2 linked regions of the Notamacropus eugenii genome follow. The protein of the gene in region 1 interacts with the protein of each later gene in a pairwise test. Links are inferred from orthologs where the notes say so. Each region holds a gene or a part of one and is shown on either strand. Other genes may lie near its edges.

What was found.
Region 2: the proteins of NFE2L2 (region 1) and MAFK interact in binary tests that used the Homo sapiens proteins (3 or more experiments, as listed by UniProt). The link is inferred for Notamacropus eugenii from reciprocal best matches to the Homo sapiens genes NFE2L2 and MAFK.

The regions. Positions count from the first base shown.
Region 1 is NC_092876.1:240,167,974-240,178,428, reverse strand, and holds the start of NFE2L2 (nuclear factor erythroid 2-related factor 2), read left to right. Parts: upstream 1-5,714; 5' UTR 5,715-5,959; coding exon 5,960-5,992; intron 5,993-6,142; exon of another isoform or gene 6,143-6,275; intron 6,276-6,698; exon of another isoform or gene 6,699-6,851; intron 6,852-10,455.
Region 2 is NC_092874.1:388,037,674-388,048,174, reverse strand, and holds the start of MAFK (transcription factor MafK), read left to right. Parts: upstream 1-6,541; 5' UTR 6,542-6,692; intron 6,693-8,872; exon of another isoform or gene 8,873-9,042; intron 9,043-9,131; exon of another isoform or gene 9,132-9,385; intron 9,386-10,501. UniProt on the Homo sapiens protein: Since they lack a putative transactivation domain, the small Mafs behave as transcriptional repressors when they dimerize among themselves.

The DNA.
Region 1 (10,455 bases):
GGCTGCCTTGCTGTTGACACATAACACTCCATCTCTCATCTCCCTGTCTGGATTGGCTGTCCTCCAGGCCTGGGATGTTCCCCTCCTCACGTTCATCTCTTAATTTCTTTGGTTTTAAGACTCAACTCAAATCCCACCTGCTGAAGGAGGCCTTTCCCAATTCCTCCTAGCTGCTAGTACTCTCCCCTCTGAGATTATCATCTGTATCTTGTATTGAATTTTTGTAATTGCATACTGTCTTCTTCATTAGAATTTGAGGTCTTTAAGGGCAGAGGTAGGTTTGTTTTGGGGTTGTTCTTTTCCCTTTGTTTGTGTCCCTAGCTTTTAGGCCTAGCCCATAGTGAGTTCTTAAGAAATGCTTATTGACTGACCAACTGACTAAATGGACCCCCCCTACCTATCTTATAGGATTATTGTGGTATGTGGTAATACTGTATATAGGCTCTGAAAATTATAAAATGTCATAAAAATATGAAGGATATATCTTTGTTGCAGTGTCAAAGTTCATAATCCAGAAAAAAAAGTACTTTGCAGTTTATTTAGGAGCTGAGGTTGTTGTTTCAAACATTTGAGCCATCTCTTACTTCTCACTCATTCCCCATATCTAATCAGTTGCCAAATTCTATTGTAATACTGACTTTATACCCTCTTTTCCATTCTCCCTTCTATTTTCATTCACAGTCTCATTATCTCACATCTCAGTAATAAAATCTTCTAAAATGTGCTTCCTTTTCTCACCCCTCCATTTCATCATGCATGATGCTATCGGTTTAATCTTCCTGATTCTGAGAGTTAATTGCATCTCCTCCCTTAATTAAAAAAATTAATAATATTGCCAGATATGGTGATGGTGCATGCTCATAGTCCCTGCTACTAAGGAGGCTGAGGTTGGTAAATTACTTGAGTTCAGGGATTTCTAAGTTATAGTATGGCTAAAGGTGGTACCAATGTGTAAACCACAGGGAATGGGGGGGGGGGGGTCACCAGGTTTTGTAAGGAGGGGCAAAGTGGCCTAGGCTGGGAATAGAACAGGTCGAAGCTTTTGTGTCTATCAGCATCAGTGCTGGGCCTGTGCATGGTTGCTGAACTTCCAGCCTTAGGAAAATTGGGAAACCTAATCACATTCACAAAAGAAAAGAAATAAAACAAAACAAATGATTCTCCATTACCTGCCAAATACAATTTTAGTTTTTAGTTTGAGATTCAAAGCTCTCCAAAACCCGGCCCCAATTCAACTTTCCTAGAATGAGAGGTTCAGAACTGGAAGGGTCTTTAGAGAGGTCATTTCATCACCTACCCCTCCCCTCCCATTTTCAATCCTTCCTCTCCTACCCAGACACTATACTGCTATCAAACTGCATTACTCAAAACTCCTTAAATATCTTACACTGTAGGGGAAGAATCAGAAAACCTAGATTCTAAACCTTGCCTTTCATGACCCCAGAAAAGTCATTTAATATCTAGCCTTGGTTTCTTCATCTATAAAGATTAAGGGTTTATCATTTCTAAGGTCTATCTATAAATCCTATGCCCCATGCTTTCTTGTTTCTGGGGGGGGGGGGGGGGGGGAGTTTGGCCCAATTTTATTTTTTTTGTAATGTTTGAGATAGCCTCACCTTGATCTACTCTGTTGAAATCTTTCCAGTTTTCCAAGGTCTGGGTCAGATAACATCCTTTCCATGAAGCCTTCCCCTTTCCTGCCAGGAGAAGTCATCTTCCCCTCTTCTGCATCGTCATAATATCAGCTCTGTCATTCCTTTCTTATGATCACTTTCTACTTTGCATTACAGTCACTTGCATATTGGACCAAAATCAGTGCTGACCAAGAGCCAGCTGGTATCAGCATCGAAAGCCAACTGTTAAATTTTCAGTGTGAACATTTACACCCTGGAAATTGGCAAACACTGCAAATCAGAGCTTGTGTTTTATTGATTTTCGAGACGTAAAGTGATGGAGAAAATATTAATAATATAGATTAAACATAAAGTGTGTTCTGTGTGTATTTTTTCAGAGTCGCTTGTTAAACATTTACCAGCACACCTACGAAAAATTCTTTCCAAGTAGTAACTTGTAAGCCCCCAGTGATGTTTTACTTTTTATCAGTCAGCCATCGTTAACAATTAATAACAAAGGTATTTTAATGACAGTATAAATAAATTTAGTTAAATGACAGTGAGATTTTTATATCTGATCCTGGAGGTAATAGGGAATTTATTAAGGGGGGAGATGGGGGGAAACATGGTCAGACCTGTCCTTTAGGAAGATCATTTGGTAGCTGGGATTTAAAGGAAGTCAGAGAAGCCAGGAGGAGAGATGAGGAAGGAAGGCAATCCAGACATGGGGGAAAATGCTCTGAGTTGGGAGATGGAGAATCATGTTTAAGAAATAGCAAAGAGGCCAGTGTCATTGAATCATAAAGTGTAAAAAAATTAGAAAGGTGGGAGGGGCAGGTTATGACAGGCTTGGAATGATAAAGCATTTTATATTTGATTATGAAGGGTTAACTCATGAACCTCACAATGAAGAGCTGCTATCTCCTACTGATATTACTTTACTTCCTCAAAAGGCATGTTTTTCTGATCTAGGTAATGTCAACTGATTATTTTCAGATTCACCTAATAATAATAATAATATATATACATATATATGTGTGTGTATATGTATGTGTACACATACATACATACATGTTGCTTTATGGTTTACAAGGTACTTAATATGTTATTTTATTTGATCCTCACAATAACCTAGAAGTTAGGTTCTATTATTATCACCATTTTACAGATGAGGAAACTGAGGTAGAGGCATCTCAGGCTGGATTTGAACTCAAGTTGTCCCACCCCCAAGTCTAGCACTCTGTCTACTGTGTACCATCTAGCTGTGTACTATCTATTCTGTACAACATCTTCTACGGATACTGTTACAGTTCTTTCACCAACTCTTTTAGTCACCTCTGCCATGGAAGGGTACTATGATTAGTTAGAATTATACTCTCTCCTGAAAAAGATATTCCCTAGCTCCTTCAATCTGATCTATCAGCCTCCTACTCTTTCAGCTTCCTCCTGTGCATAAGTTAGAGGCAGCTGAGCCTGGAGTCAAAAAGTCCTGAGTTCAAATTCAATCTCTGGTGCTCATTAGTTATATGAACTTGAGCAAGTCACTTAATCTCAGTTTCCTCAACTGTAAAATAGGGTTTTGTCATGAAGATCAATGAGACCATTTTTGTAAAGTGATTAGTACAATGCCTGGCAGTAGTAGGTGCTATATAAGTACTATTTTATTTATTATCATTTCTAGCTATAATCTTCAGATTAAGTGCTATCTTCAGAGCCACCTACTCAATTTGGTTCTTCATTTACTGAAGGTGTTGGGATTAGCAATATTCTCCTTAGCAAGAAGGGCTCATTCTTCTTAGTTAACCTTGTTTGCCAATAGCTATGAAGTTTTTTTGTTTGTTTTTGTTTTCAGCTAGGATCCTCAATTAGTTAGGATACTTTCTTCTTTTTACTCAGACTGCCACAGAAGGGACAAGGGGTCAGACAGAAGCTTGCCTTCAAACTCTTTTAAGCAATTCCTTTATTCTCTGCACTTTACCTACTCTCTTCTGGCTTTCCTGGAAATCTAAATTCAATTGTTACCTAACATGGTCAGAAACCCATTTCAGTACTAAGGTTGTAAGACCAAGGTAAATCTCCCCAGGGGGAAACACTTTGATGAGGATCAGATCATTTTACCCAATCAGCTCTTCTGTTTTATGTAAAGTAGAAATGGCTGAATTGGCTAGTGAAATCTAAAAGACCGTTGACTCTAGTCTTTTCCTACAGAAAAACATTGTAGCCTGACCTCTTTCTCTGGCTGTTTTATACTTGCATGAAGACTTTTTTCTCTCCCTTGCTAGATGATAGGATTTTATTTTTATCTACCACAGTACCTAGAACAGAAACTCTTAGGGTCATAAAATCTTATATCTAGTTCGTTGGCTACTAGCACTTTTTAGTGTGTATAAACTCCTTTTCAATATTAAAAAAAAAAAGTTTCCTGGACCTATGGGTTATTGTTGTACTATTTAGTAACCAATGATTGAAAAATTACATAACAAAAAGTTATTATGAGTTCAGTAATGCTTTTAAGTGAACTTGTGTTTTATTCATCTGAATACTTCTGAAAAATAAGAATCTAAATGAGACATTATTCAGTCTACAAAAACTATGCTTATTATAGAGGAATCATTTAATGAGATAGACCCTTTAAAATAATAGCATCCCACAGGTTGGGAACTACTATATCTCGTCCATCTTTTACACCTTAAACGTTTGTCATACATAAATAAAGCTAGGGATTCTTCATCTGTATGTTACCTAATTTCTAACAATCTTTAAAATAAAAGCTAGAAACCAAAAGCTGAACCTATCAAAGAGATAGAAAGGTTCTTAGATCCAGAGACAATGCTAGGTCACTTAAATTCTCTGGGTCTCAGCTTTCTCATATGGGAAAGATCTAGTTCTTAAAGCCTCTGGGACTCACCTGTTGACAGTGATGCACGCACAAATTCTCTTTTAAAAATCTCCAATACTTTTGAATAACATATTCCAGGGCTTCACATTCCCTTTTCTCCTCTGAGGCTTTTGCCACTTTCGAAGTTAATTTTATTTTTAAGGATTATGCAACAGCTCAGTGCTGCAAGATGAGACATGGGGGGAAAGAGAAGGAGATGGTTTCAGTTTTTGCAAAGCCCAAGCTGAACAGTCAGCTTCCATCTCAAGAGGACTTTTCTAATCGACCTTGGAGCGCTGTCCCTGGCAATGTTTCTAAAGAGCGAAAGTAAACAGGAGGGCATTTGGGCCTTGGCAAACACAGGAGAGGGGACCTAACTCCAAAGTCCCAGAGTGGTTCCAGAACTTCCTACTGATTACACTTTCACTGAATTAACAAGAGTTCCCTGGGAGCAGAGGGTGGGAAAGTGAGGGAAAGGTGGTGCTGACTAGCAGGCAGCTTTTGTCCTGGTGCTCCTTGGCTGGCACCTGACCCTCAAGTAGGTGCGGTAGGTAGAGATAAAACTGAGCTGTGCCCTTCAACCTGGACCTCGGAGCCAGCCTCCCTTAGGCCACCGCGTACTCTTTGCCAGGTCGGTGAGACAGCATCCACTATGTTTCCGAGTGGCAATCTCGTTGGGAGGTAAGGGGAAAAATGGTTTCTTTGGTTTGTTTTAAAGGACACACGTACACTACACTGCTCTAAATTATACGCCCGGAGAAACGGTTTTGTCTTAAAAGGCGCACAAGCACAAAACATACGCACAGGGGGAGTCCACCGTCTCTTGGAGTTGGGACACCCGGGTCCAACTCCTGGTTTTGGAAGTTCCAATCCTTCCTCTTACTACCCTGGGTGACCTTGAGCAAATCACTTAAATTTCCCTGGGCCTCAGTTTCCTCATGACCAAAATGATGAGTCTGGACGAGATGAACTCCAGGCTGCCTTCCAACTCAAAAATCTACGGTTATTACGGTAAGGCCTGTGTTTTGGGGAGGGGTCTCTCCCCGCCCTCCGCCCCCGACGGGGATGGAGAGAGTTAAACACAAAGATTCTCAATACCTCCTTCCCTTCCTCCCCTCCCCCCCAGTGCTCCCACGCCAGCCCCCACCCCATTCCAAACCCGCAGGAAGTCAGCAGCCGCAAGGGTGGGGGATTTTAAGAGGAGGAGCCGGGAGGAAGCGGCCGGCCTCGGTGGGCGTGGCCACGCATTTCTCCGCCCCCAGGGTGGTCGGAGGCGGGGCGTTGCCGGGGCTGTGCCGGGGAGTCCCGGCCCTCGGGTGGAATACAGTGAAGTGCCAGGGAGACTCAAGGAGCCGCTTCCGCGCCACCCCGTCCCTGCCGCTGCGCCTTCCTTCTCCGCACCTTGTCTCGGGAGCTGAGAGAAAGAAGTCCGGCCGGGGAGCCCCAGCGCAGGGGTCGGAAGCTCAACATGATGGACTTGGAGCTGCCCCCGTCGCAACAGGTGCTACTGCCGGCACCTCCGGGACTGGCGAAGGGGGGGAGACGTCACGCACACGAGAGCGGGGCTGGGGGGGAGCGGACGTCACGCCTCCGGGAGCAAGGGGGGGACACGCCTACGGTAACAGGGACGGGGGCGACGTGGGCGACGTGGGCCGACCTCCTTCCCTCTGTCTTCTCTGTACAGTCCACCGGCGAGAGGGGACGGCGGGGAAGGCCGGGGTCGCGGAGGAGTCTAGGATTAAAGGAAAAATAACACCCGACCCCCTCCTCGGGAGAGAATAGAGGTGGGGGAGGAGTTGAGGATGGCGCCCTAGGGGGATCCAGAGGGGAAGTCCCCAGGAAGCCGTGGATGCAGGGCAGGGGAGGGGGGCAGCTTCCCCCCGGCTCTGCCTGTCACGAGCGCGTCGGCGGCCCCGGTGCGCTGGGTCTCCTTTCCTGAGGGAGGAGGAAGAGGAGGTGCGGAGGGGGTGGGGATTCCCAACTCCGGAGGGGAGGGGGACGTGGGTGGGGGGTGCAACAGCTGTTCCCGCCCCCGCTGTCTTCCGGGAGCCCCTCCTCCCCAGGTCGCCGCACTGCGGCTGCGCGGCGATGGGTGAGTTGAGGAGGTGTCTCTGGTCTCTTCCTTGGGCACTGTGGGAGGGGGTGGGGCGAAGCCTGCGCCGCCCCGCCCCTGCACCGCCCCCGCCCCTGCGCCGCCCCGTCCTTGCCCCCCTCCCCGGGGTCTGGTTGTCAGGGGAGGAGAAGCTTCCTAAGCGCCCTCGGGGCCTGCTCTAGCTTCTTTCGTCTCTTCGCACTTCCATTCCTGAGCTGCTCTCTCTGGCCTTGAAGCCTGCGTGCTTAGTCGCCAGGGGGAGGATGAGGTATGGACTGGCCCCCGGACCCTCGAGTGAGCGAGGAGCGCGGGGCGCACGTCTGGCTTGGAAGTCTGGGCTTCCATAGAGATCGATCATCTCTAGCCCTCCCCCGCCCCCACCTCTCCAGTTACTGCATCTCCGAGCCGGGGAAGGGAAAGGCTAGGCTTGTTCCTCATCACGCTTACCCTCCACTAGGGATTTCTAGGGTACTGAGAAAAACCAGTCTTTAAAGGACTCCAGTTAGCTTTGTGCTTCTGCAGTGACCTAGATGGCCCCGACGGACTGAATGAAGCCGTCCAAAAGCTCATAGTGTATCTACCCCTGACGGTGGTCCCCGGGCGGACCGTGGCGGAAGATAGCCAGGCCTGGACCCTGCATCTGATGAAGGCCGCTTGTCGTCCGGGAGAGAATGGGGAATTGGGAGTTCAGTTTGTCTTGCCTCCCCCCCTTTTCCTCTCCTACAGAACTCGGGAGTTTTGGAAACGTTCCGTACAACATACAGCACCCCCTCCCCGCTGCGGTAGTCCCGAGTGCGCGCTTCTCCGCGGCCTCCGAACGCGTCCCTGCGGCCTCGGCGGGGGTCAGCTGCCGCCAGTCGCGGCCGCCCTAGAGGGGCCCCTTGTGCTGCCTAGCGTGCCAGCCCGGCCGAGCTCGAGGAGCTCAAGGCCAGGGCGAGTCGGAGCTGGGGAGCTGTTGCGCAATTGTTATTTTCCCCTGGGCTGCTTTGTCTTTGGATGAAGTTTCTCAGATTGTAATTCTAAAATATGTAAAGCAGAATACGCTAAATGTTGTTCTGAGTAGGGCTGCCAGGGCAGATCAGGGTTTGTATTTTTGTGTAAAATGAGGTCTGTGCTTACACATTAAAACTTCGACTCCAAACTACTGCCTAGTTGGCTTTACCTTGAGTCTCTTTTCCCGCCGCCCTTCTCCCGGTCCCCTTCCTGTTAGAGAATTTTTCTTTCTTTTCGTTCTGCCTTTTTTGTAAGGATAGATGACGGGATACTTGTGTTGCACGGTGATCCTTTTGCTAGCAAGTTCTGTAGTCCGAGTTGGAAGAATTTGGAAGTAAGGTCCTTTATCATTTCAAATCATAGCATATTTTAAAAGTGTGACAGACAAGTGAAAAGATTACTTAGGATTTCTCGGCTTTTGTTTGAAGTTTTAAGAAAGATTATTGTTTCAAGGACATTTTTAATTTGAACTTGACCCTCTCAAGGTATTGAATGCTTTCCTCTTTGAAAGCAGTTATCTAATCTTGGCACGACTAAAGAGTTCCCTTTTCACCTTCTCTTTGGATATACATTCAGGACATTATAGGTCCCTATGCAGTTGTATAGTCTTGGACTGCTCCCGAAGAATGATTTTGGTTTTGTGCCCTAATAGCTTACTATTATAAAGATAGCTGTTTTGTTGGATTCAGTTATGACCAGAACTGAGGCTGTGTAGATGCTTCCTTGAACATATACAAAATACTATTGATTCATTTTTGGAAATGGAAAATGTTTTGGAGGATAGCGTTCAAATGTGCCCTAAAATTTCGTGCTTGAGGAAACAAAAGGAAACATGGAGAATGGACTTACAACAAAATGGCAAAATTTTATCACTGAAACATCAGTTTGAAGTCAGTAGAAAAATAAAATGAGGCTTCAGAGCTGATAGCAAAAAAAAAAATTGAATAAAGATATTGAAGTTTTTGTAATATACTTGCTAGGTATCACCAAAGGAATAAGGTTCTTGACCTTGTGGAGACTCTTTATTTTAAATGTGTAATTTATTAAGATCAAGTGAGATAATATTTGTAAAAAGTGTTCAGCACTTACAGTCTGGTACATACGTGTGTATAAAAAAGCACAATAAAAATGCTTATTCCTTTCCCTATTCCACTTACCCTATTGTACCAGAAAATATGCTGTCACCCTCTTTACATAGAAGAAGATATCTAGGAAGAGATCGTTAAGTATATAACTTGAATTCCCCACACCCATCATAAAAACTTTACATTTATTCTCTTGTACATTGTGCTGCAGATGAAAGACGCAGTTACTTTTTTCACTGCAGTGATAAGTGTCAAGTTCAAAAAGAAAAGTGAGAAGGAAAAGTCAGTAGTCTCTCTTGATATAGAGAGCAACTTGACATTTTTGTTTTATGAAACATCTTGAGATATTTTGAAAACACTTTGTAGGAGGACTCATTCAACTCCTCTCAGTCACAACAAAAAAAGTCATGCCTGGTGCACTTAAATTTTCCTAGACAATAAGGACAAGGTTTCATTCTTTGTGAATAACAAAAAGTTAAAGAGAGACTATATGTTTTCATTAATATTAATCTATTTTCATTCAAGATAATTTATGGACAGCCGGAAAGTAACCCCAGGAATGTTGGGGAAAATCTCAGAGGTTTTTTCCCTCTTTTTTTCTTCATTCTAGACTCTCTTAACATTGCCATTATCCACACTTGTGGATAATGTGAGAGGAAAATGTCGCATTTTAATAAAAAGTGGGTAAACTGAGGAAAACTAAAGAAGCTAACTTTTTTTTAGTTTCTAAGAAATATACCTGTTTCTATGTGATTATGTCTGAATTTGAGTTAAGTATCAGTCAGAGGAGAAATTTATTGGGATAAATAAAACATAACCTATTTGGTACTTCTGAAATGAAGAAAACAAAGTCTTAAGAAGTCTTCGGGTTAATTAACTGGGTAAGTTTATATTGTCTTTAGGAATACCACGTTCAAAATAAAATAACTTTTTTTCCTTAAAAACTTATAATATTCTAAGTTGTTGATGCATTTGTTGGATTTTGGAGTATAGTCAACCTAACTGAAGTCAGTAGATGTGTCTGTTGAGCAGATTTCAGAAATTTGTGTTTGGCACAGCAGGTTATAGAAATACTTAAAACATCTAATAGATGAGGAAGTTTTATGGATTTTATCAGGTATTGAGTAATTGAAATGACGATAGTGTTTTACAATTTTTATTTAAAGCTGGGAAGATGTTAAAATTTCTCAGAAATATACCAATTGTATTTTAAGATATATATGATTGTTTTAAGATTATGAGCAAGGAAACAAAAAGCTTATTACAACACTTAATGAATTAATCCATCCTCACTCCCGAGTTAGAGGGTTTTTCTGTTTGAGTCACTGACACAACACTTTAAATACTAGAATTAAGTCTGAGAACAGAAAGTACTGTTATCACGGAACACATTGTTTGCTCCAGTCATGTCAGGACCTAGATACATGAAGAGGAGGACTACTGACTTCGGAGTGTAGTCCCTGTGTGGGTTTGTTTTCACTCTGGCACTAAACAATACAAAGGCCGGAGGTAAAATGGAATTTGAGAGCCAAGTCCATCTTTTATTGGGTAGTGTTAATAAGTGACTTTTGAAAGCCATTATAATTCAACATATCAGCATAGTCTGAAGGGTTTTATTAAAAGTCTGTAAATACTTAATTTTTTTTTCTCACAAGCTTAGAAACTCTGGGACTTTTGGACTGTGATATCAGTAACATACTGATGTTTAGCTATCCTTTTTTTCAGGCCAGATAAGAAGGGAAGTCATTCAGCTAGATGGAGAAATATTTGCCCTGTCTGATTCATAGTTATTTC
Region 2 (10,501 bases), on another chromosome or scaffold:
CTCAGGTACCAGGAATAGCATGGGCAAAGACCCAGAGCCTGCCAAGTATGAACAGACCAATATAGTTGGAGCATGGTGATCAGTAGTATGACACAAGGCTGGAAAGATAGGGCAGTAGCCCATTGTGGAAAGTCTTGAATACCTGGCTAAGAAATTGAACTTTATCTAGTTGGCAACAGGGATTAATCCACTAAAGATATCTGAATAAAATAAGCAAATGATCACATTTATGCATAAGGGAAATTAGCCTTCCAACAGTGTGGAAGGTGGGCATGGGGTGTAGGAGGAGAGAGGGACATTGTGGAGGTAGGAAGAGCTTTCTTTATATCTAAATCTCCATCTGTTAAAAAGATGAAAACATTGTCTGCCACTAGCCAAAAGGAACAGTGTAAGAAATTACATGGAGCATCATCATTGTTATCACCACCACCATCATCTGAACCGCTGGAGGACCCAGGTTTAGCTTCATGCCATGATAAGGCCATCCAAGTAGGAATCTCCTTCAGAGATTTATGAGTCTACTATTCCATAAATGCATGAATAGTCAGTCAGTCAGTAAATATTTATTAAGCGCCTCCTATGTGCCAGACACTGTGCTAAACTCTGGGAATACAAAGAAACAGTAAAAGACAGCCTCTGCTCTCAGGGAGTTCACAGTTTAATGGGGAGACAACATGCAATAAACAACTATTGACAAAGATTCTAGATAGGACACATTAGAGACAATGTCCAGACAGAAGGCACTAGAATAAAAGGGGATCAGGAAAGGCTTCCTGTAGAATGTGGGATTTTAGCTGGGATTTGAGGGAAGTCAGAGAAGCCAGAAGGTAGTGAGAAGGAAGGAGAGACTTCCAGGCTTGGGGGATGAGGGGTGGGGCGCAGAAGACAGTCAGTGAAAATGTCTGGAGGTGGGAAATGGAGTGTCTTGTTTGAGGAAGAACACAGAAGTCGGTGTCCTTTGGATCTCAGAGTACATGGGGGATGGAGGGTGCAAGGTGTAAGAAGATTCAAAAGGTAAATATGGACAGATTATGAAGGGATTTGAACAACAAACAGGTAATTTTATGTGTGATCCTGGAGGTAAGTAGGGGTTGGAACTGTGCTTTAGCAAGGTCACTGAAGGCTGAGTAGAAGATGAACTGGAGTAGGGGGAGACTTGTGGCAGGCAGACAAACCATCAGACTCTATAAAAATCCATGTATGAGGTGGGCAGGACCTTAAACAGGATGGAAGTACTGTCAGAGGAGACTTTACAAAGGCAAAAAAAAAAATAAGCCTTGACAACCAATTGGATTGGGAGGAGGGGGATGTGAGAGAATGAGGAGATGAGAATGATATTTAAGTTGCAAGCCTGGGTGACTGGGAGGATGGTGCTACCCTCAACAGTAAGGGAAGTTAAGAAAAGGGAAGGGTTTTGCAGGGGAAAAATAACGAATTCAGTTTTGGACATGGTGAGTTTAAGGTGTCTGTAGAACATGGTGTAGAGACATTCATTATTAGGCAGTTAGATATGTGGGACTGGAGGCAAGTAGAGAGTTTTAGATTAGATAAGTAGATCTGCGAATTATCATCATGGAGATAATAACTGAATCTATGGAAGCTGATGAGATCACCAAATGAAATAGTATATGGGGAGAAGAGAAGAGGCCTAGGATGTTGCCCTGTGGGGCACCCAACGATAAATGGTATGACGTAGACGCAAATCTAGCAAAGGTGACTGAGGAGTAGTTAAATAAATAAGAGAACCAGGAAAAAGTAGTGTCATAAAAACCTAGAGAGAAGATGGTATCAAGTAGAAAAGGGTGACTGATATTGTCAAAGGCTAAAGAGAGGTCAAGAAGGATAAGAACTGAGAAAAGGCCATCAGATTTGTCAATTAGAAGATATTTGGTAAGTTTGGAGGGAGTACTTTTCAACTGAATGGGTGTTGTCCTTCATTCTCAGAGGACCAAAATGACATCACTATGGTTAGAGTCAAGTTACAATGTGTCCCGCTGTAGCTGTTCAGACCAATACAAACTCAGAATGCTCTACCATAGGTCAGGCAAAAATAGTCCATGTGAACATTTGGGGTGGAGTTGCTAAATTTGACATTTGGGGTGTGGTTGACTGCAGGGTGGGCTCTCTGCCTGCCTCAGCAATCAGGCTAAGGTAGAGTAAGCAGACAATTTCTAGGGCACCTTTTCTAGCCTCTTCCTCACACCAAGAGATGAGCAGGGAGATCCTTAAAAGGCTGCTCAGATACTCAGGGCTGCTGAATCTCATTGCTGCTTCCAATGAGAAGACAACCCTGTGGCCTGGGCTGTCTGGGTAGAGGACTATGAGTACAGCTCCCAAGGTATCCGCACCTGCTGCTTCATCACTTCCCTGTCACCACAGAACTTTGAGATAGGTAAAATGGAATGGGTGTTGTTTTTTGATTCGTGCATAAATTGGATTCAAGTGAGGCAGAATTTCACTAAGTCGTTTACCTCACTCTCTCTTCCACAGTTATCACAGTCCAGTGGCAGGAGAGTGTGAAGACAACTGGTGGTGGCTCAAGATGCAGAGGATGACCCTGGTCTCTGATGTCTAACCAAACTCTAAACGTTCCACAGCACCTGCTTCAGATGCCTTCATTGCCATTGGGACAAACTGTTCTCATCTGTCCATTCCACCAGGGCAAGTCTTCATATGCTTGGGATAGACACACCCCTAACTCACCAATGGGTTTGAGACCCCTCAGTCACCCTCAACCTGGTTTAGTCTGTCTGCCAAAATGGTTTACTGGGATGCTCCAGCTTCTTGGAGTCACAGGGAGAGTTAGGTGGAACTGGTGGATACTAAATGTTGGAAAGCAGTCCTAAAAAGGACTCACCAGCCCTCACACCAGAGGTACTAGTCTTAATAAAGCCATACTGTAGAGTTAAGAAGAAAGTCAGAGAAAATGAAATGGAAACTCGTACTGTAGATGGTCCTCTAGAAGAGTTTCAACATAAAAGAGAAGAGAGATATGGGATAATATCCAGGAGGGATGGATGGATCAAGAGAGGTGTTTTTTTTGAGGATGAAGGAGACATCGGCATGTTTGAAGGCAGTAGAGAAGCAGTCTGTAGATAGGAAGGGATTGAAAATTAGTGAGTGGGGATGGTGGAGGAGGCAGTCTGCTGGAAATGACTGAATGGAAAAGGAGCCCTTGTGCATATAAAGGAGTTTGTCTTGACAAGAAGAAGAATCTCATGTTTAGTTAATTTCTGCTAAGACGTAACAGTCATCCTTCCCTCTACATTTATTTCTCCTCACTTACTTTCCCTCCTTCTTAACTTCTCCATTTGCTCCTTTTCATTTTCCCCCTCCTCTTCTTTTTCCACTTTTCTTCTTGGGACTCATCATTCATTTTTAAAAAAAACTAGTTTAATTAATGTCCTTTGTTTTTATGTCACAGTCATTTCTGGAAATAATCCCCTCCCCCTACACAAATCAAGCCTCCCTTCTAACAAAGTTAAGCAAAAACATAACCCACTTCTTACAACATATACAACATTCTGCCCTAATGGTATTCATTATTCTTAAATAAACAAAAACTTCACAACTAAAAACTAAATTAGCTGTTTTCTTTCCTAGCTTTCTTCTTGACTTTCCATTACCCAGGACCTCATCTTCCTTATGTGAGAACTGGTAATGACATTCCTTTGCCCAAAACCCTTCAGTGTTTCCCAATGGTCCAGTGAGTCAAGTTCAAATTTCTTAGCTTAGTATTTATTCTCTGAGGTCCTTTGCGGTCTGCTGCTGTCCAGATCTTTTCACCCTTTTTATCTCATGCTCCTCTGTACTTCTCTCCAAGTATTTTATATTCCAACTAAACTGGACTGTAGTTCCTGCTATAGACCCTATGTTCTAGCCTCCTAGTCGTGCTTGGCTTATACTATTCCTTTGTGTCTAAGATGTCGCTCAGTTCTCCTCTGTTAAATTCTTACCCATTCTTTATAGCCCAAATGAAATACTACCTCCTTATGAAACTTTTAAACTAGACAGCTAATATGGATTTCCTTCTATGTTTTGCTTGCCTCATCTATTTCACTGACCAACTTTTATTTTTAGCCTTTTTATTCTAACTTATCTCATTCTAAAAAATAATTATTGCTTTATAAAATAATTTGAGATCTGATCATGTTAAACCTTCTTGCCTACTTTCCCTTGTTATTTCCCTCAATATTTAGGTACCATTTTTTTGTTCCTCCATGTATATTATTTTGTTCCATTACATAAAATAGTTGACCATTCAACAGGCATTTGTATCATGTGCCAAGAACTGTGTCAGAAAGGGTCCCTGCCTGGGGTGACCTTACATTCCAGTAGAGAAAACATGTACATGAATGCATGGTCACATATAAAAACAAAAAGTATACAAAGTATAACCACGGCGATTAATTACATTAGCAGTTGTGGGGGGGGAGGCGGTGTTAGGAAAGACCTCGTGTAGGAGGCTGCATCTGGCTGAGCTTTGAAGGAAGCTATTGATCCATTTGGTACAGTTGGGACTCAGTCAGTGTCAATAATGATTCTGCACAAGTGACCTCATGTATTCAAAGTTATAATTATGTAAAATATGGTTAAGGTGATTAACATAGCAGGCAACCCTTAGATTAACCTGAATAGTATGGCCAGGTCATAAACATTGACTTTCTTCAATTATATAGGTCACCCTTTATTTCAGTGAAGATTGTTTATAGTTAGAAGTCTCAAATTCTCTGTGTGTCTTGGTAGGCACGAAGGATTTTCTAATCACCCCAGTCCTTAGTGACCTTTCACACTTGAATTTAAACATTTTAAACTTCTTGAGGGCAAGAACTGTCTTGTCTCTTTTTGTATCCCTGGCACTTAACACTGTACTGGGCACAGAGTAAGTGACTAATAAATAGACTGACTGATGGCATGGTACAGTTACCTGGGCACCGACTACACTCTCTGCTACTAGACTATAAACTTCACAAACATCAGGGCTTGTAGTTTGGGTTCACCTCTTTGTTACCCCATTTTGGGCTTTGGATGTTGGGTTTTGTTGGGGTTTCTTTGCAAAGATGCTGAAAGGGTTTGCCATTTCCTTCTCTCACTCATTTTACAGATGAGGAAACTGAAGTAAAAAGGATTAAGTGACTTGCCCAGGGTCACACAGCTAGTCTCAGAACGGATTTGAACTAAAGAAGAGGAGTCTCCCTGACTCCAGACCTCTATCCACTGTGCCGCCTTAAACTTAGGTTATGTTTCATTTATTATATGTTATAAACTTTATAATACCATGCCTTTTCTCCCCTCTGCTTCATAGGCACTTAATAATTTAGAACAGAAATATAAGAGGATAGAGTCCAACCTTTCCATTTTACAGATGAGGCAACTGAGGCACAAAGAACTTAACAGTCACCCAAGATCAAACATGCAGAAAGTGTTCAGACCCATATCCTCTGACTCCCAATACGGTGTTTCTCCCCGCTGTTACTTGACCCTCTAAGGTCCAGACTCCTGCCCTCCGTCTCCCCTGGAAGCCAGAGGACCTGGCCCCAGATTCTGCCTCAGACCCTTATGTGGGTAAGGGTCTATGGGCACGTCACTCAACTTCATGGGGCTTTCTTCATTTTCTCATTTGTAAAAGATCTTTAAAGTCCCTTTGGCACGTAAACCTGTGGTCCTAATGATCTTTGTTCTTTTCAGGTTTTTATGTATTTATAGCATTTCAGCTCCCTCCCTGCCCGGCTCCTCGGGAAGGCAAACAGCACCATGTCCATTCCACGTTAGCCCTGTTAAAACCAACCAGCAGTAAAAAGCAAGGACTCGGGTCTCCGGCGAGAGGCCTCCGGACCGCGGGGTAGCCCAAGGCTGAGTGCCGGGCAGCCGGAGCCCTCCGGCCGCCCTGGCGGGGTGACCCTGAACCCTTCTCCGACCCGGCGCGGCGGCACAGAAGGTGCTACGCCCCAGGGGGTCCGAGGGCTCGCAGAAGCGGCGGCCACGCCCACTGCTCACCCCCTGGGAGGCCGATCACTGGCGCAAGCCCCGCCCCCTCCCCGCCCATCTCCCAGGGCTCAGTCTCCTCATCTGTACAACGGGCCCTGGCGGGGAGGAAAGCAACTTTGCGCCCACGAACCTCTCCAGGGATGCTAAGTTTCTGTGGTTATAACTTTTTTATTGTTGTAATGATCACGTGCCCGTCTCGATGACGGGGGGCTGGGGGGAGGCAGTGACCTCGCGCGGTCCCCCCCTCTAGGGGTTTACACTTGTCTCTCCCCTCTTCCCCCCAAGCCGGCGGCCGGCCCGGGCGGGCCTGGGGGGGGCGGGGTGTGAATGAATGGGGCGGGAGGCGCTAGGCGGCCGCGCGGCGGGCGGGGCCCTCCCTCCCCTCTCCCTCCCGCTCCCTCCCCCCCTTCCCCCCTCCCTCGGTCCGCCGCCCGGGCCAACGGACTGAGGTGACGGGGGGGCGGGGGGGAGGAGGCGAGGGGGCGTGGCCAGCTGACGCGCGCTGACGCGCGATCCCGGAAGCGGAGTGTCAGATGCCGAGGACTGGGGGGGTTGTTGTTATTCCCGAAGTCGGAGGAGGAGGAGGAGGCGAAGTGGGAAAGCGCGTCCCCGCGAGGAGCCGCCGGAGCCGGAGCCGCCGCCGCGCGTCCCCGCCGTCGCCGCCGCCGCCCCCCGCCAGGCCCCGCCGCGTGCCCGCGCCCCAGGTAAGAAGGCGGCTGCGGGCGGTTGGGTCGGCAGAGCCGGGGGTAACGGACCCACCGCCGGACGGCTGGGCAGAGGGGGGGCGGGGCGCTGGAGGACGGGACCCGCCCCGATCCGAGGCTGGCGGCGGCCGCAGCGGGGGCGTGGTGCCCCCTCCCCACTCTCCGGCGCCGGGGGGGTGGGGGCGTCGTCGGCCCCCGACCCCTGACCCCTTTCCTCTTAGCCCGCGCTGGCCGCACGTGCTGCCCCGTCCCGTCCCGGCGCCCCGCGAGCCCGGAGATCCTCCCTGCCCGCCCCTCCCTCCCTTCCCTGGACCGATTCCTTTCCCCCCCTCCCTGTTACCCCCCAAATCGCTGAGTCATCCTTCTGGGGGAGACACGTGCCCGGACCAGGGGGCGGAGGGGGAGACACGTGCTGACTGCCCCGCGGGAAGACCCGGGACCAGCACGTGGCGCCCCCAGACCCTGGGCCAGAGGAGCCCCCCAGGTTCGGGGAAAGCGCCCCAAGAAAAAAGGCAGGCAGAGGGGGGCTAGGAAGGGGACCGGACAAACTGCGGGCGCACCCCATCCGAGAGGAGCAGGAAAGGCAGGGGTGAAGGGGGAGGCGGCAGGGAGCATCCCCGGGGTGGGGAGTAAGCATGCATGGGAACCGGCCGGCCGGAGGGGCACCGCGGGGTGACCATCGAACCAGAGTCGTGGCCGGGGCTGGGCTGCTTCTGTTGGGCGTCTGGCCCCCGGGACCCTTCCTCCAATCTTCCTCCAATTACCCGTTCTGCTGTATTTCCATATATGCAAATGATCTGATGGTCCAGGGTTGTAACTTATTACTCTGACCTTTGGGGTTTTGGGGGGCTCAGTTTGACACACAAACTTGTACGTTTAGGAATCTGATGACTCTTCTTAGCGGGAGTAGGAAACACCTCCCCTTGTTACATCTCAGGGGCCAGGGACGTAAAAGCACCTAGGGAATGTCAGACGGCCGCTGAGGAGGCTCAGCCCGATAACTGCCTTACTGTAGGCAGATGACCCAAACACGGTACCAAGAGTCGTAGGCCACTGGTGTATGATCTCCCTGACAGACCGTCCTACGTAGTCCTGATCTGCTTAGGATATTAAATTGTTACACTGTGACAAATGAAACTTCAAAGGCCGCTCCCTTGTATTTAGAGATATCCAGACATAAGATAGGAAAAGCTCCCTAGATTCTGGCATGTTTCATTCAGTTTTTATTTTCCAGCTTAGAAAGTCTAGGAAGGAAGAACGTTTTTTTTTTAAAGAGTGCTTAGAAACCTAGGTAGTATTTGGTGGTTTGTTTTTTTTTATATTAATCATTTTAGACTACTAAAGAAAGAAGTTGTTGACCTTTCTAAACAGGATCATGAAACCTGAGTGATCCAGTATGAAAATGACTGGAGAGCCTAACCCTAGGTGATATCACTCACTTGTGGTGACGATCTATTGAAACCGATTTTGGTTAATGTTTACTCTTGGAATTTTAGTCTGGGATATTTGCTGTGATAGGAAAGGGTGGATTGAAATAACAGTATTCACATTAATACCCATTTGTACTCAGGCATTTTATAAGCTAAAGAGTTAAAAGCATAATAAAGATTTTTTTAAAATTCCCCATTTTACAGACAGGGGCACTGAGGCATAAAAAGTGACTGCCTTCTACCCCCAAGAGATCAGTGGCAGAGGTGAGAAAGAGATTTCCAACTCCTGTCTTTTTTCTCAAAAAAGTGAATTCTTTAAAACCAAATGAGAGATTAGAGACATGTCAGATGACATCTCCAAAATTAAATATGTTCATTTAAGCCGATGCTAAGAAACAAAGCCCTAAAGCTCCTCTCTTAGGTGCGATACTGGAATATCAACCAACATAGTCTCATAAGGGAAAAGGGGTTCCTGTTGTAGGCCAGAGCCCCTGAGCCCTGGAGCCAGGCCAGCCTGGTCAAAACCGGAAATAACGTCCTTTACCTTTCAGTCGTTCAGACCAGCCCTCCCATCCCAGGGTAGCCCGGAGGCCAGATTTGCCCCGAGGGGGCTAAGTGAACATTTTAGGATAGTTGCCTCCCCTTCTATTTCACCGAGAAGCCCTTTGAGGTCACATGTGAGAGGCTGTGTACCCCACGCCCCCAGAGCACCAGCAGCCTCCAGCCTGGCTTAGTAGTTAATGTATTTACCTTGCTGCTTCCGCACTGAGGGAGCCGGTTCAACTTGTACAGTCTCTCTTCCCTTGGTAATGCAGAAAAGCCTTCCTACCACAGTCACTTCCTACAGATGACTGGCATTGCTCCTATCCAATAGCGTTATACAACATCAGCCAGAGGGAAAGGGGATTTAACCCTGCTCTTACCAAAAGTCATGCTGTGATGGAGAATGAAGGAATTTGGGAAATATCGCTTACATTGTTGTTTATTCATAAATCGTCTCAGTACTTACGTAGTGGCTTGATTTGTGTGCTTTGAGCTTCCAGCCTTTGGTGTCTCCAATTAGTATTTCTAGAGTGAGTACATTGGAAGTTCATAGAAGAGCAAATGTGACCTTCTCTTTCCTATCTGCCAAGTCTTTGAAATGAAGACTCATATTCCTCTTAGTAGAGTTTCTTCTTGAATGGCAGTAGGTCTAAAAGAGCAAACCCAGTCATGCTGCTACTCCTCTGATACTGCATACAGTACTTACTTTAAGCAAATAAGCTAACTTTATATTTGCCCAGACTCCAGGGAGTTTTTGATTTTGGAAGGACATGTATTGCGTATTCCTTGTATTTTTAATTTTATGATGTTGGTTTATTGGTTTGCTTTTTCATACTGATTTTGGTAGCCAAGACAGAAACTAAGATATGTACCGAGTTACTCAATAGGTTGGTAAGTTAGTTCCTCCTGTAAGCAGTGGATTTTTATGAGTGACGTGTAGTTTGTCTTACACACTGTCCTTCCCTCCACCTTTGTTTGTCTGGCGCAGTCTAATTGTCTTCATGTCCTATTTGTTGGCTTTGTGGAGGCCTCTGCTTTATTGGGATCATCTTTAAAGGACATCCTGATACGTGCAGATGTTGCTTAATGTCACACCATGTTCAGCTTATTTCAAACCTAGTGATTTTTTTTTTTTTGGATAGACCTGGTGAGAGAGAAGATTGGATGAGTATAAAAAATAAAACACAAAACAATTTTGAAAGCTGAGCTTGGCCTGTTGGGTGGGGGCTGAGGGAGATGGCATTTTGTGCAGCAGTGTAAACTCGTGCTGTGCATGCATACAGCTTCAGTGCCACCTGCGACACATTGCCCCAGAAGGAAGAACCTTAGCTACTGTATTACAAGATCTATACCTTCTTGTCCATCTGCCATGTTCCCTTACCCTTTCCTTTGTAAGATGAAATAATAATTTTTCATTAACCTTTTGGAGGGAGTTTTATAAACTAAAACCAGAAATTTTCCCCAGAATGAAGTTTGCCTTCCATACTTAAACACAGCACAGGCTTTAAGGGAATCATTCCAAGTGTAGCATTGCTTGACTTTCAAGGTGGTTGCTAAAAATGGGAGTTGAGCAGAGATTATTTGGGGAAGGCAACATTTACTATGTGTCAGAATTGGCTGAATCCAATTTCTCTCTCTGACACTATTTGGAACTTTGACACGAGCCTTTTTCAAACCGTAAAATTTTGTCTACTCTAATTCTCACCTTAACCATAACTTCTCTGGTGGTTGCTACATTTGTACACAAACTCAGGCATAACTGTGATTATTTTCCAGATAGTTATTTTAAAATCACATTGATAAAGTTCCTGGGTGTGAGGGTTCCGTGTAAACCAT